Alligator mississippiensis: one gene and its partner. The protein of the gene in region 1 binds, or shares a complex with, the protein of each later gene. Links are inferred from orthologs where the notes say so. Each region holds a gene or a part of one and is shown on either strand. Other genes may lie near its edges.

Evidence for each region.
Region 2: the proteins of RALGAPA2 (region 1) and NKIRAS1 are in contact, whole or in part, in a crystal structure (PDB 9QU1), measured with the Homo sapiens proteins. The link is inferred for Alligator mississippiensis from reciprocal best matches to the Homo sapiens genes RALGAPA2 and NKIRAS1. Residues at the interface, in NP_065076.2 of Homo sapiens: Pro20, Lys21, Tyr51, Ser52, Gln53, Phe56, Tyr59, Glu60, Ile63, Arg99, Phe102, Arg103, Trp104, His105, Tyr106, Gln107, Ser108, Lys185, Ile186, Tyr187, Pro188, Glu189; in NP_001364280.1 of Homo sapiens: Lys6, Glu22, Leu24, Leu25, Tyr26, Glu34, Met39, Glu40, Asp41, Val42, Tyr43, Met44, Ala45, Ser46, Val47, Glu48, Lys54, Gln56, His58, Tyr60, His74, Tyr75, Ser77, Phe78, Lys108, Thr162.

The regions. Positions count from the first base shown.
Region 1 is NC_081824.1:229,068,927-229,076,547, forward strand, and holds the start of RALGAPA2 (ral GTPase-activating protein subunit alpha-2), read left to right. Parts: upstream 1-4,438; 5' UTR 4,439-4,601; coding exon 4,602-4,707; intron 4,708-7,621.
Region 2 is NC_081828.1:147,991,737-147,999,187, reverse strand, and holds the start of NKIRAS1 (NF-kappa-B inhibitor-interacting Ras-like protein 1), read right to left. Parts: upstream 3,175-7,451; 5' UTR 3,129-3,174; coding exon 3,035-3,128; intron 1-3,034. Other genes in the region: RPL15 (large ribosomal subunit protein eL15), read left to right, coding at 4,022-4,193, 5,315-5,451. UniProt on the Homo sapiens protein: Atypical Ras-like protein that acts as a potent regulator of NF-kappa-B activity by preventing the degradation of NF-kappa-B inhibitor beta (NFKBIB) by most signals, explaining why NFKBIB is more resistant to degradation.

The DNA of each region.
Region 1 (7,621 bases):
GCATGGAGCTGAGGCCCAGGGCAGAGCCACAATCCCCTCCCTACATGCCCCTGTGACAGGCATGGATTCCATGGGCAAGGGTATACGGGGAGTGGATCATGGCTCTGCTCCGGCCCCTCATAATCACTGCCCCAAAATCCTGGCCCTGGACGCAGCTTCCCACCCGCCTGCAGCCCCATCCCATCTGCCCAGCCACGTGCCTTACTTGTGCAGTTTCCAGCCACACGGGTAAGGTCTCCATGATGATCCTGGGATAGTAGGGCAGTGACAGCATGGGGCCAGGGCTGGGGCAGATCTGCAATCCACTACCTGCATGCCCCTGAGACAGGTGCTGGTTCTGTTGAGCAGTCATCTCCCCATGATCCCAGCCCCACCTGCTTTCCCACTCCTGCCCTGCCATGGCCCCATCCCAGCCACATGGCCAAGCAGAGAGCAGAGCCACTTAAGGAGTTTGGGTGAGCTGTTGCATTGGTGGGGTGGGGGAGAGGTATGTTGACTTGACCTGCGACAGCTCACCAAAACTCCCTATGTGGCTCTCAGGCCCAAATAATTGCCAACCCCTTCTCTTTGGGCTCCTACTTTTACACAGGGGAGGAAAAGTAGGAAGGAACCCCAGTGACAGGCAGCAAAAGAAGTCTGAAAAGAAAGGATCAGACAACAGGAGAATTGCTAAGGCAATTTCCTCAGCCCCAGGGAGGAAAAAAACAGGCATTGGGGTGGGATTTGTGGAAGAATGAGCAGGGACTCACTCTGGTACTGCCACTGCCCTTTACAAAAGTGGTTGTGGGGAAGTGAGAAGAGCAGAGATTTTTCTCAACATCCCCATGCCTCCATGTCCATCCACAATGAAAGAAGCACTGCAGAGTTTGGGGCAGAGAAAGAACTGAGTGGGTATGAGAATGCTGCACTGGTTTAATTAATTTAAAGACAATTCAATTAAACTGGTGCAGTATAACCAGGTGAAAAAAGTCCTTTGTTTCCTGGAGGGTTTGAACTTTGGTTTTTTGAACTTTGGTTTTCATTCTGGTTTGGAATGGAAACCAAAAATGTTGAAATTCGGCACATATGGGACTGGAGGTGAGGCTCCATGGTAGGACAGGGAAGGATTTCCAGAGAAATGTGGTTAAAATTCAACCTTTCCTCCTTGCTGAGCTTTGGTCTTCTGCCAAGAAGAAAACTGTGCCCATTGATTACCACTGGGTGTGTACCACATCTTGGCAATTTGGCAATGAGTAAGGGTTACAGCATATTGAATTATATCTCCCAGCACCAGTCTCAGGCTCTTTGTCTTGGAAGAGCCTTAGAGCAGCTCAGGATTATGTGCTTAGGACCCCAGTAAATCACATTTTATTGCTCCAATTCTGTCCTGTGATTCATAGTTTAGTAATATGAAAAAGGAAGGTGTTGATTTGCATTTGCTTGTATAGGAGGACCTAGTGGTATCTTTTAAAAGCTTTGTTCCTGCATTGAGTAGATGTTATATCTTTTATTAGAGCAACTAACTAGTTGGAAAATTGTTCTTTGCAAGCACCCTTCTTCAGGCATTGGAGAGAGTCTCTTGTTGGTTTGGGTGCTCTCCTGGGTAGATTGGAAGCCAATATGCAAAAATGTAGGTCTGTGAAAATGCATTTTTGCATATTGGCTTGTAATCTACCCAGGAGAGCACCCAAACCAACAGCAGACTCTCTCCAATGCCTGAAGAAGGGTGTTTGTGCCTGAAAGCTTGCAAAGAACATTTTTCATACTATTTAGTTGGTCTAATAAAAGATATCACATCTATCCAAAGAACTTTGTCTGCCTATGTCAGAGCAACACAGCTACAACCAACAACCTTGTTCTTGCATTGGAGTCTATCAATGTTAACACCTCTGCTCAGGAGTCTCATTAACGGAGACTTAGGTTGTAAAATATTCTGAGCTGGAATTTTGGACCAAATTCTGCTTTGTAAAATACTAAAACATAGTGTATTATTTATGCATTTTAGTGGAAGCAGTCACTGAAAGCTTGAGTGAATTTACTCTAGCCAATGAGTTATGTGTAAATTCCAAATGGTGATCCTAATTCCAGTCGCAGATACAGTATAATTTATTATATAATGTATATATAATGATCCCTATAGCCTTATTAGGCTTAGTTTGAATGTTTGCCAGTTGGTTTCCAAAAGGTCTGACATAAGGCTGGGTTTTCAAAGATGAATAGTTAGGTCGCACCTACAAAGTAATTTGTTCACATATGGGAATTATGAGCACAAACACTCATTTTTTGCAAGAAAATGTGTGCTTTGGAGCAGAGTGGACATAAAACACCCTTCTGAGGAGGTCCCTGTGACAATGGTAGCACAGCTGCAGCATACAGAATTCTACAATGTAGCCCTGGGGCATGCTCATCTTTATTAATACTTTTTGGCTTCATTAATTAGACCAGCATTTCCCAATTGGCTGTTTAGGACCCTGAGGGAGGCTGAACAACAACACAAATTTTATTCCAGTGTAAAACAAAAGAAAAACTCCAACCCTCTAAACCCATCAAGGTCAACTGTTCTTTGCCAACTTCTAGATACACAGAAATTTTGTAGGCATATCCTAGTTTGACTGCTGTTACCTGACATTGTTTTGTTCTGTTTTTTATTCTTGGAGTAAGAATAAGGAAGTCACGAACATTTTCTTTTTTACTTTGCTACCAAAAGGAGATGGTTGAGAAACATTCAAGTAAAGCATGGGGCCATGGGTCATGGGAAGCACACACAAAGCCTGGTGGCTCCATCACAATGTCAGGGCAACATATTGTTGTGCTCTCCTCTTGTGGCTGGAGCAGGTGGTACAGAGGGGTTTAGGAGCCCCTACTCCCACTCTGCCAATGGCCTAGCATTGTGACTCAAGCAAGGGAGGCTCATGCTTTTAAATATGAACATCTTAGGTTCAGTGCTCACAGATAAGCTGCCCCAGGGGGTCTTAGTGCAGCCACCTACCACAGGCATTGCTCAGGCAGAGCTACTCCAGCCAGTGCCAAAGGGGAGCAGTCCATCTCCGTGATGGCAGGCCACGGAGCAGGTGCTCATGGAGAGAGCCCTGAGCAGGGCTCCCTACACTCGAGGTATTAGACTTAAAGCACATTAACTAATGTGCATTAATGCACATATAGACACACCCTTGGGCAGTCCTGTAGCAGGTGCGGGGGCCACTCCAAGTGCCAAAGTGAAGGAGCATCAACAGGAGCTGCCCAGCTGGGGCAGGGTGTGGGACAGCAGTTCATTTGTGTGGGGGCATGGAAATGCTGGGAGGGTGGTTCCTGCCGCTGTGTGCACTTCCAGGTAAGCATGGGGGGGGTGCCCCCCAGATCTGTGTGTGGGGTGAGGGTGGGCCCTGGGCACCAAACTTTGTTCCTACGGCACTACCCTTGGCGCATGTCTACATGTGCATTAATGCACTTTAGTTAATGTGCATTAAGTAGGGTGGCCATCATAGAGGACATTCCAGTTTTCTGCTACTTGGTCCTCTGTTGATACGAAACCAGATGCCTTTATGTCCTCTGTTTTTCTTTTGAAGAAAAGAGCTACTCCAGCTAGTGCCAAAGGGGAGCAGCCCATCTTTGTGATGGCAGCGCATGGAGCAGGCGCCCATGGAAAGAGCCCCGAGCAGGGCTCCCTAACACTTGAGGTACGAGACTTAATGTGCATTAACTAATGTCCGTTAACACACATGTAGACCTGCCCTTGGGTAGCGCTGTAGCAGGTGTGGGAGGGAGGAGGAAGAGAAGAGAAAAATACAGGACATAAAGGCATCTGGTTTCATATCAAGAAGACAACCGGACTGTCCTCATGATGGCCACCCTAGCATTAAGTCTAGTACCTCCACTGTAAGGTACTAGGAAAATGCACATTAGCCTGTCTAATGCACATTAACGGAAGAGTACAGGGTTTTTTTAGCGAGGTTTTAACGCCCATTAAAATAGGCTAATGTGCACGTGTAAATGTGCCCCAACAACCCTATTCCTGGGGTGGGGTACAGGGCACCTGCAGGCCACTACACCCCTCCCCCTGCTGCCTGTAATTAGGGGTGAGGGGGAAGAACGGGAGGTCATGGGGGTCCCATGGGACACACCACAGCCCACGGTGCTGGTAGGGGGTGCAAGACTCCCCGCGGCACAAAGACCCGGGCACTCCCCGTCCCGCGGCGCCTACAACTCCCAGTATGCAGCGCGCCCCCACGGCAGCTGGCGGCGCGCGTCCCGCCGCTCTGCATGCCGGGGGATGTAGTCCCGGCGCCCACTGAGAGGGGCCGCGCCCGGGGGTGTCGGGGTGGTGGGCAGAGAGGCGGCAGGCTCCGGCCCCGTTCCCAGCCCCGTGTGACCCGGCGGACGCCCTACTCGGGGGAGCGGGCCGGCAGGCGCTGCAGGGGCGGGCTCGGGCGGCTGCGCAGTCGGGGAAGCGCGGCGGCGCCAGTTCCGTGTTTACACGCCCACTCCGGAGCTGGAGCGGCAGCAGGAGCCGGAGCCGCCGCGCAGGGACTGCCCCCTGCAAAGCCAGGGGGTCTGTGCCATCCCCCCACCCCTTGTCCCGCATCCGCCGCCCCCCGCTGCAGCCGGGCGCCCCGGCCCCGGGGATGTTCTCCCGCAAGGGCCATGCGGATGTCAAGAAATCTACACAGAAAGCGCTGGACCCGAAGAAGGACGTGCTGACCCGCCTCAAGCACCTCCGCGCCGTGCTGGGTGAGCCCCGGGCACTGCCCGCCGCCTCCTCCGCGGGGCACGGGCCTGGAGGGGCTGGGTGTCTCGGGTGGGCAGTGCCGAGTGCGCCTGGGTTTGAGCCTTGCGGGAGAGGCCCCGGGTAGACAGAGCGGGGCACAGACATCTTTCTGTCAGTGGAAGGGGGAGAAGAGTTTGAAAACCTGCTTGACAACGGGCTCTTCAAATCAGTAGTTGCCACCCTTGGAATCGGCGCTGTTCCTTGACTCCAGGTGGCCCAGGACGAACTTGTAGTATCAGGCCCCCGTTCGCCAGAGAGAATGATAATAATAGTAATAATAATGACCATTTTCTGGCCTCCTTTCTGTCTGGGGCACCCTGTTGGCCCATGCCTGTGTCTGGTCTTGTTTGGAATGACTGGGTGTTTCCTGTGCACCAGTTCGCGCCTGGTTTTGTTATCCAAAGTGTCTGCAATCCAGTCTCTTGTGGGGGATTCAGAGTCATAAAAAATGAGGGTTGGACACAGCGTTCCCTCTAAGCTGCGTGGCGTGCGCGGCTGCACAGGCAAGCTTATGCCATGCTGCCAGGTGCGCCTGCATGGCTGCACAGCTTGGAGGGAACGCTGGTTGGAAGGGACCATTGGAGGTCATCCAGTGGTTCTCCACCTTTTTTGGACCAGGACTCATTTGGAAATGTCAATGGCTCATCCCAACCCAGTGCCCCTCGCTTCTGACCTGCTGCCCCCCACCCCACAGTGTGGGCTCCAAGCAGCCCCTTGCAGGCTGGCGATTTCCCACCTTTTTCTCCTTTAAAGGAGAATCCATTTTTAAAGTTTGTTGATCCATTTTTAAAGTTTGCTCATGACCCTCTCAGATATTCTTGCGACCTATGGGTTGAGAAACACTGATCTTGTTCAACCTCCTGTTCATATCAGGACCATCCCCAACTAGATCATCCCAGCCAAAGCTTTGTGTAGCTGGGTCTCAAAAACCTCCAAGGATAGAGACTCAACCACGTCCCTGGGTAACCTGTTCCAGTGTTTTACCATCCTCCTAGTGAGAGAGTTTTTTCCAATACTGTATCTAACCTAAACTTCCCTTGCTGCAACTTGAGACATTTAACTAGAAGGAACTTCTTTTAAAAAACCGCCCAGAAATAAAGAAACTCAATTGACTAGCATGCCCTGAGGTTTAGGACAAAGGTTAAGGAGAGTTAGTACCGCCCTGCCTCCTGTTCAGTTGTTGATGCTTCTGTATAAGTTAAATGACCTCATACATGAGTAGATCTGGTCTGACTAAAGCTGTTAGGATTAATGTCTCTTACATGAATTTAAGAAAATATCTTGAATTCCATTAGGATAAAAGGACAGGGCCACTTTGCAAAATCAATGTTTAGGATGTGTAACTGTAATGATAAACAGGCATTAAAAAGCATGGAAAAGGAAGGGTAAGGTCTTGCAGGATATTCCAGGAAATTTAACGAGATTTTATTTGGTTGAAGTGAAATGTCATTCCATTATTTAAATGATAGTAGCAGCATTTTAATGAAATATTATTCATATGCTACTTCACTGTATGAAAAGTGTATTAATTGAGTTCAGATGGAGTTTACTAGAGAATGAGCTGAAGGTTTCTGTTCCCCAGACAATTAAAGAACCAAAAAACACCTCCCAAACTCCTTCCCCTCCCTTGTTTTGGATAGGGCATGCCAAAAAACTCCTCTTGTACATAATCAAGCTATACCACAAAGAAGTTCGTGATAAAAAACCATTTACAGACCATTACTTATTTCCTTCTCTGAAATAAGATTTTATCAAAATGCACACATTGCCTCATGACTTTCTGTAAATTCTAGATGTCTTCTTTGTTCCACTGTGTGCATGGCTGGTAGTATTAAAGATGCAACACAAATTAACCACATTCTCCCAAACTGTTTGTTTGTTTAATCATTCGTTGGTTATATTTCAATAATCAACTGAGACTATCTAAGAATGCATTTTGGCATCTGGGTTCATAAAATATGCAGATGTTACAGGGGGACTAGTTCCACTTTATAGGCACCAAAATAACTTCAAAAGGTTGCTTTTAGATTAAAAATGTCATAGCAAATAAAAGCTTCTACAAATAAAAAAAAAGTTAAAGACTGCTAAGAAAATAACTACCTTATTAATTGCCTAATTTACAAAATCCAAGCGTATAAGGCAAGAAATAAATCATGAAACATAAAATATACTATGTACTGCAAACGTGTGCTTATCAATCTAATGAAATCTCATCACAGTGCAACAGCCCTAGGTCCAATATGCAGATTGCTCTTTTTAAAGAATTTTTATTATCTTGGTTCAGTACATTTTTAAGGACTATTGTTAAATGGGGACTAGTATCAGTTAGTATTTATTCATTGACACTGGCATTTTGGTAATGTATTTATAATTTACGTGTTTTAGGATGAATGTGATTTAATAGTAAGTGTGTAACATAAGTGATTTATAGTAAAAGCATTTCTGTTTGGAAAACTGCATGTTAAGAATGGCAAATATAAAAACTCTCTTAACACCCCCCCCTCCCGATTTTACCATGTGAGTTTATTAGTGAAAGGATACCAGTTTCTTACTGTGGCTCAAACTTAAGATTTTTTTAAATTATAAAACATGCATTTCTTTATACTTAATAAATCCTTATGTGCAATGCAGGCTTTATGACGACCTTTTTTCTTTATTTCCAGTGTTTGAGTCTGTGTGTGATAAGAAACTGCGTTATCATTTAACTGATATTTTAAATAGAATTGGTGTTTTTGTATATATGCTTTGGAATGTGCTTTTTTTAACATTTTTCATTTTTATATGTGGATGAATGAAAACAATGTTTCAAAAATATATAAGTGGTATACGTATCATATGACTATTAAATAAGGGAGCTGAAAATAGTTTCTTCAAAGC
Region 2 (7,451 bases), on another chromosome or scaffold:
GTGGTAGCTAAAGAAATTGAAGGCATTTTTAAATACAGCTGAACAGTAATGGTTCTCTTGCTCTCTGTCTCCAGTCACATTGTACAGAGATGCGCATAAGATTTAGCGTCGCTAATCGTTATACCAGCAAAAAGGAAAAGACCCTAAACAGTTAAAATCTCTTTAAAAAAAAAAGTAATAAAGCTCATCTTAAAGTTCTCTACTAAGATAGTTTACACAGGTTATTATCACCTTGATGCTATACTTCAATGCATGGATCTTGAAAACTTATCCACGTGCTTCTGTGGAAATTTCTCCCAGCCATCAAAGCAGCAACAGGACATGCCTGGGCTAACATACAGAATGGCAAAGGGAGAGAATGAAAACTAACAAAATAAAGTTTTATGGTGGAAGGCTAGGACTGTGGGAACAAGTGTACATGGAAATGGAATAAGGATCTCTTTTGGTCATAGGAATTTGCATATCACTAGTGCCAGCAATGGGCTAAACATATCCAGTGTGCAAATGGCACCCTACATGCTGCTCATACAGAGGACTTAAATGGCAGATAGGCATGATGCTGACTGTTCAGACAGGGAAAGGGATTTCATCAGGTTAAAGTAATTCACCTCTGATAATACAGTGGAAACCGTGTTGCTAACAATGTTCACAGTTGCAGTTAGTTCTATCCCCTTGTACAGTGTGTACCAACCAGCACCAAAAATTATGAGAGAATGGAAAGGCATTAGTTACTTGGCTTAAGTTTTAGGCAAGGATGAACTACATTGCTGGGATCATACAAGAACGTGGGCAAATTTAATCCACTGCATGGCTAAGACTGCTGGAGTTTGATGTTAGTGATTTTTATTAATTTAGATTTAAGATGAAATGACTGTACACTGGGGAATCCCAGAGCATGCATGGAGCTGGAATGACCTTTGCAGGATTTGGTTCAACTCAATCCAGGATTGCAGGATCAAGTAGAAGCAAACAAAGGCCAAAGGAGTATTATCCTCACTGATTTAGTCTAATATTGTAACCCACAGTTCCATGCATTTAAAACAATTTTTGTCATTAGACTGGAAGAATGGTCACAGCTTTGTCCGAAAAGCAGTTCCGGGTTAAAAACAGAGCTAGCGCTGCACAAGTCAGATACAATAACTCATGGATAGTCACTCTCTGCACACTTAAGGTTTGCCAAACCGAAATCCTAACCAAAATCAAAAAACCATCCTTGGTGCTTGAAACTTAAGTTCCAAGTCTGAAGACAAATTCAGGAAGATTCTGTCTAATCAGAGGTTCAGTTGCAATAGTTTTCCAGGTTCTTCACTGGAAATACACCCTGAGCACAGTGGGGTTTCTTTTGTAGTCAGAAGGCAGAGATAAGGAAAGCAGAATTGTCAGCAGAAGAAAGGATGAGTGTTTCAGTTCTCATAGGCAGTAAGCTGTGGCAGAGATAGAGGCACCACAAGCATTTCCAGGTACAGGAATGATTTCTGGCTAAGCCATCAATTCACAGAGAAGTCATTTAAAAAAACAACTTTCCAGATGTCCCATATGGAGAAATCCAGCAGTCAACTTTCCCATTTGCTCTCTCAAGGTAAGTCAGGCTGAGGAGCACCAAGTGATGTGTAATTCACTCTCTACCTACCTCCTCTTGGGTGAAGTGTTCACTGCCTCAACCAGAAAGAGAGCTGGGAACAAAGCTGAGGAGAGAGGAAAACAGAGACTGACCCTTTCCCACTTCCATACACAATGGATAAGGAGGCTGAGGAACAGTACAAAACCTGGCTGTGGTGTAATCTGGGAACTGAACTCCTGTCACCTGTTTTCTCCTGTCAGCTATCACAAATGATAGCTGAAAAAAGAGCTTGCAATTTGGCCTGAAGGTAGATGAGGGATTTTCTACTATGTTAAAAAGTATTATTTGTAAATCCAGTGAGATTTAGTGTGCATTAAAGAGCATTTATTAAATGTACAGTTAAATGTAAAGGAGGTGCATCTCAGAGAAGGTCCCTCCTGTTACATAAGCATTTAACGAGTAGCTCCATAAATAGCTCTCATCAGCTGCACTTGACTTTCTTCCTGCCTCAGTTACTAACAGCAGCTAAGAACAGGAAGTAATTAACGGCAGTACGATAAGCATCACCTTCTTAGCCATCCTGTTCAGACACTGGTGCTAACCAGCTCATTCAGAGCAAGTCAGATGGGAGATGAACAAACCGAAACCTTTTCCTTGCCATTGAGCTCACTGGGCCCGCTGCTCTCCCACAGCAGCTCCCAGTTATGCCAAGTGGCAGCACTCAATATGTGTATCGCTACAGCTAGAGGAGACCCCTGGTTAGCACCATGCTCCGTCCGCAGCCGGCAAGGACAGAGGCCTTCTGCTTTTGAGGAACGAAACTCATTAGTCCAAAGGTCTCAAATTGCAAATGCCCGCCTGCCCAACTTGTCCCAATCAGCCCAAGTGACAGCACCCCCTGCCCTCCCACCAGGGCACCTCTGCCCCCAGCCACCTCCCGTTACCCCTGCTCATCCAGAGCCTCCTGACAGCACCTCTTTACTGCCAACGCTGCAGAGAGCAGAAACAGGACGGCGGGAGACGGGAAGGAGCAACTGCCTGAAGCGGCAGCCGGGGACATGGAGGTTGGAGACACGGGGGGGACCTGGCGACCCCGTTGCTCAAACTGAAGCTGGCAAGAAACCAGCGAGGGAACTGCTGCGCGTTTCCAAGCAGTACGTGGCGACCTGGCCAGTTCTTTGGATAGCTGGGCAGCCACATTTTAGGCACGTGGCGATGACTCGGCACAGTCTACATTTATGGTGCAACTCGTGGGCGATCCCCCCCGCACCTGCGGTTGGACTACGTTTGTGGCATGACTGGCGGGCGGGCGGCCCCTCTGCACCTGTGCTCAGTCCGCACGTATGGCTCGATTCACCAGCCAAGGCGGCGGCGATTCCTTGGCCTGACGAGTGCGCAATACATGTAACGTGTGGCAAGGCTGGGGCGGCGCCGAGGGGGCCAGGACCCGCCGCCCCAACCCCCCGCGCTCACCGGCCGCGTGGTGCCCGTACAGCAGCTGCTCCAGCACAGCTGTCTTGCCCACGGCGGCCGCGCCGCTCACCACCACCTTGTAACCCTTCCCCATGCCCGGGCCGCGCGGGGCGCACCGGGAGGCGGAAGGTGGAGGCGGCCCCCGCCGAACTACACTTCCCAGCAGGCCCCGGGGCGGGGCAGCCCCCCCCCCCGTACTACATTTCCAAGCAGGCCCCGGGCTGGGGCGGGCGGAGGACTACATTTTCCAGCAGCCCCTGGGGCGCGGCGCCGGAAGGGAGGCGGGGCCACAAAGGGTTGTGGGAGCGCGGCTTCTTCCTTTCCGGCTTCGGGCGCCATCAGGTGAGGATCAGGCCGGTCCCGGCTGCTGCCTCTATCCGCCGCCATCACCGCCTCCGAGTGTGGGGCAGGCCCCGGCGCGGCTCCGGCCCGGCTCGGCCCGCGGCTCTCGGCGCGGCCTGGCGGGGGTGCTGGCGCCGGGCCCGCCGGGCTGGGGCGAGCGGGAGTCGAGTCGGGGAGGGCCCGGGGCGGCCTGTGTCCTTGCACCAGCGCGGAGGCGCCCAGCGGCCCTGGGTGCCAGCCGAGGGAAAGCTCTTCGCGGTGCAGGAGTTAAGTCAGGCCTCTGGGGAGGAAGCTGCTGAGAGGCGGTGACTTCCCCGAAGCTTTTCCCTAAACTCACTGGCAGATCCGCTGCATTCTGGGTGAAGCCGCTATTTGGCATGTGGCAGTAGCTAGGGTGTGCCAGGCATCCTCACGGAAAAGCAGTTTCTCTCTCAGGAGTTCAGCATGCATAAAAGCAGGGAGAGAGGCGAGCAGGCATTTGCGGTGTGGCGGCTGCCCTGCGTTTAAGCCCCTTGCGTTTCAGTTTGGTGCAGCCTGTTACACGATGTCCCCTTTGCACGTGGGTTTCCTGCGGGAGAGTCTCAAAGGGGGATAAAGGCTTGATTGCAAACTTACACAGATCTCTGATTAAACAGGTAAACAAGCATGGGCGCTTACAAGTACATCCAAGAGCTATGGAGGAAGAAGCAGTCAGATGTGATGCGTTTCCTTTTGCGTGTCCGCTGTTGGCAGTACCGCCAGTTGTCTGCCCTGCATCGAGCTCCCAGACCTACCCGGCCAGACAGAGCCCGTAGGCTGGGATACAAAGCCAAGCAAGGTAACTAGGCCTGAAGAGGTTTGCAGCTGACGCTTTAGCACTGGGGTGTGTCGCCACGGTACTTGTTAGAGTCTTTCCTAACTGAGCAGTAAGGGGTATGTGTAACTGGCAGCATGCTAGGTGTGTATGCTCTTTGGTAAGAGTTGAAAAACACCATGAAAAGTTGGGTTACAGGTAGTAACATAGCAATACAGCTGTCTACAGAAAAAGGATAGTGCTATAATTCATGCTTAATTAGCATCTAAGGAAATAATTTTGGCAAAACTGGATAATTAAGTATCTAGATAAGTAAGTTACAGAGACTGAATTCTCCTTGTTCTTGGAGATTTGAACTTCTCTCGTTTTCCTCTGCAAAGTTGGAGGTTATTATCCCAGATGAGAGCGGATCCAGGAGCTGGCACATGCTGTAAGCCACAACATCTAGCTGGGTGGAAAGTCCCCTTAAGCAAAGATGAGTGTGGACCAGAGAGGCATTCTCATGTGAAATGCCTGGCTAAGAATCCAAGCTGACTCCAGTGAAGATAAAATAATAATATCTTCAGAGGTGGACAGGACTGAGATGTGTTTGCAAAGCGCTGTGGAAAAAGACTGTCAGCTTGCAATCCTGGAAGCATTTTCGCACTTAAAAAATGAAAACAAGACCAAAAACTCTACTTAACCTTTCTAGTTTCTAATAGCTACGAAGTTCTCCAATCTGCACTCATGTTTTACTATCGGCTTAAATAATTTTTATAATTGGAAAATTATATTGTCAACAGCCCACATGTAAACTCACTTACACCAGTATTAAGGTGTGTTGTACCATATAGCTTATTTTGGTTTGGGCACTGAAGTGACCTGTGTTGTATAATGCAGTGACATACACATGGGGGGAATTTGGCTGTTTTAAGTGTTACCGTATAAAGCAGGAGCACTTCACCAAATTTTCCAGTACAAGGTTTATCTACGTTGAAGATGCTCATGAAAGCAGCTTCCACAGTAAGAGTGGAACTAGAAGTCCTGAGGGGAAAAATATTAATGTGAGGGGAAAATAAAGTCACGGTAATTGATACTTAATGAAATTCAGAAGTCTCATAATCTTTAACAAGTAACGTTTTTAAAAACACACTTTTTTTTTTAAGGTTACGTGATTTACCGTATTCGTGTTCGTCGTGGCGGTCGTAAACGCCCAGTCCCAAAGGGTGCAACATACGGTAAACCTGTGCATCATGGTGTTAATCAGCTGAAGTTTGCCCGTAGCCTGCAGTCTGTAGCAGAGGTAAGTGCCTTTCTCCAGTAGAAAGTTTTCTGCAAGTCTTGTTCTACTGATGGAGGGCACTATTCAGAACCACAGAATTCCTTTGGGAACCTAAAGGTTAGGACTACTGACACTAACAAGGCACTTGTGAGACCTTCGTACCCATGTACCTCAAGGGGCTTATTAAACTAAGTAAATGGTATTCTTGTATGTTTGGGGAAACTAGTGTGCAGAGTTCAAGTGACTTGGTAAAGTTAGTGCTCCAGGCTAATTGGACTAGGAGTATGACTTGTCATTCAGTTTTATGTTCTGATGCATTTTCATTGGTTGCAGAGACATAGTAGAACAGACCATACATGGTATTAGCCTTTTTTTATTTTATTTTTTTACAGAAGTGTTGATAGCAAAAGTTAGGCTTCGGACTCTGTGTAATTCATGACTTTACTGATCATTTTGCTTTATGTAATCCAGTATCAGAGTCTTGATTTAATTTTTTAAACTTTATATGCTGCTATATTCTTAATCTTAATTCCTTGGCAGAGAATTGCAATTGACTTGTCTCTGCGTTCAGGACTTGCCAAGAAGTAAAATTAACCATATGAAATTAAAATCATTCTAATTAGTTTAATCCAACGACACAAAGGTATCTTTGGGAAATAGAGAATCTCAGAGTACAGGAAAACGCAAATAGGCTGAAAAATCTATCCTTAAATCTAGGCCTTACAAACCACTCTTCCCCTTTGTTAGTATTTCCTGCTGTTGTCAGATATGTCTAGAAAGTAGTTTGGGGCAGGAGCTCTTTCCATGTTCCATGAAAGGGGGGGGGAAAAAATCACAAGGGCTTCTACTAGAGGTAGAAGAAGCATTTCTGCTTATTGTATGTTCTTGGCATGCCCTCTATGTAACAGGCATGACTGAGGTGTGACATCTGTACAACCACTTTTTCAAAATCAGCTTTAACTCCACATTCTGTAAGGTAACTGATGAGAAGGGACAGCTGCCTTTCTGTAGTGAGGTCATGCCAGCAAATAATAAAATACCCTTTTAGATGCAAGGAGCCTAGTGCTTTCCCCCTTTCCACTGTTTGGCTGATGCTAGACCTGTAGTTTCTCTAGGGGACTATGCGTTTTTCCTGATTTGTAGGCTGTGGTTTTTGTGTGTGTTTGTTTTTTTTAAAGGAGATTTTCTAGGCCAGAAAAAAAAATACTGTTGTGTTTTGTTTGTAGTCTGGGAAATATTTCTGAGCATGAAGTAGATTTTTTTTTTTTTTATTGGACTTCACATAATAACATGTTCTTTCCAAAATGCAAGCCTGTTCTCATTTTCAACTCATTGTTCTCAGATACTTTAAATGCTGGTCAGATTGGTGATTCCTTTGAGCAAAGGATGTGTTAACATTGAGATACTGAAACTGGTAGACAAAAAAAGCTTTTCTTTTTAGAGCAAGTAAATGTTTAATTTTTTTTTTTTTTAAGGTAAGCTCTTGGCCTTTCTTCCACAAGGCACCATAATTCTGATCGCTTTTAGAGGCTGTCCAGTTGTTTTTTTTTCCCCCCCACTTGTCTCAGGCACTAGTTTAATTTACTTCAGTTTTGTACATTTCTTGGCATAGACCATTTGTTCCGTTTTCCATTACCAAGGTTTTATCTATTGTTCTAACTTCTTATATATGTGGTAAGGGCGTGACTTGTATTTGTTGTAAACTGAGTGCCTTTTATTGCTATCTTGTCTTGGGAAAACCAAAATCTGAATACTTTTTTTAGTTCTGTTTATATTAGTAATGCTAGGTCTCCACTTGACGGAGGACTGTAGAAATGGAGTGGGATGATTTTGAAGACCATATCATTGATCTTCTGGCCTGTAGAATAGTCTCCCAAAGTAATGACAGGATTGCTTTGGTTTGGCATGCTTGCTCATGTTTAGTTTTAAAAGGAAAGTCAAATAGAGAATGATTCTGTGCTGTAAAAGAGCTTGGGGAAATCTTATGTGACCCAGTAAGTTTCTTCTACTTTTTTGTTTGA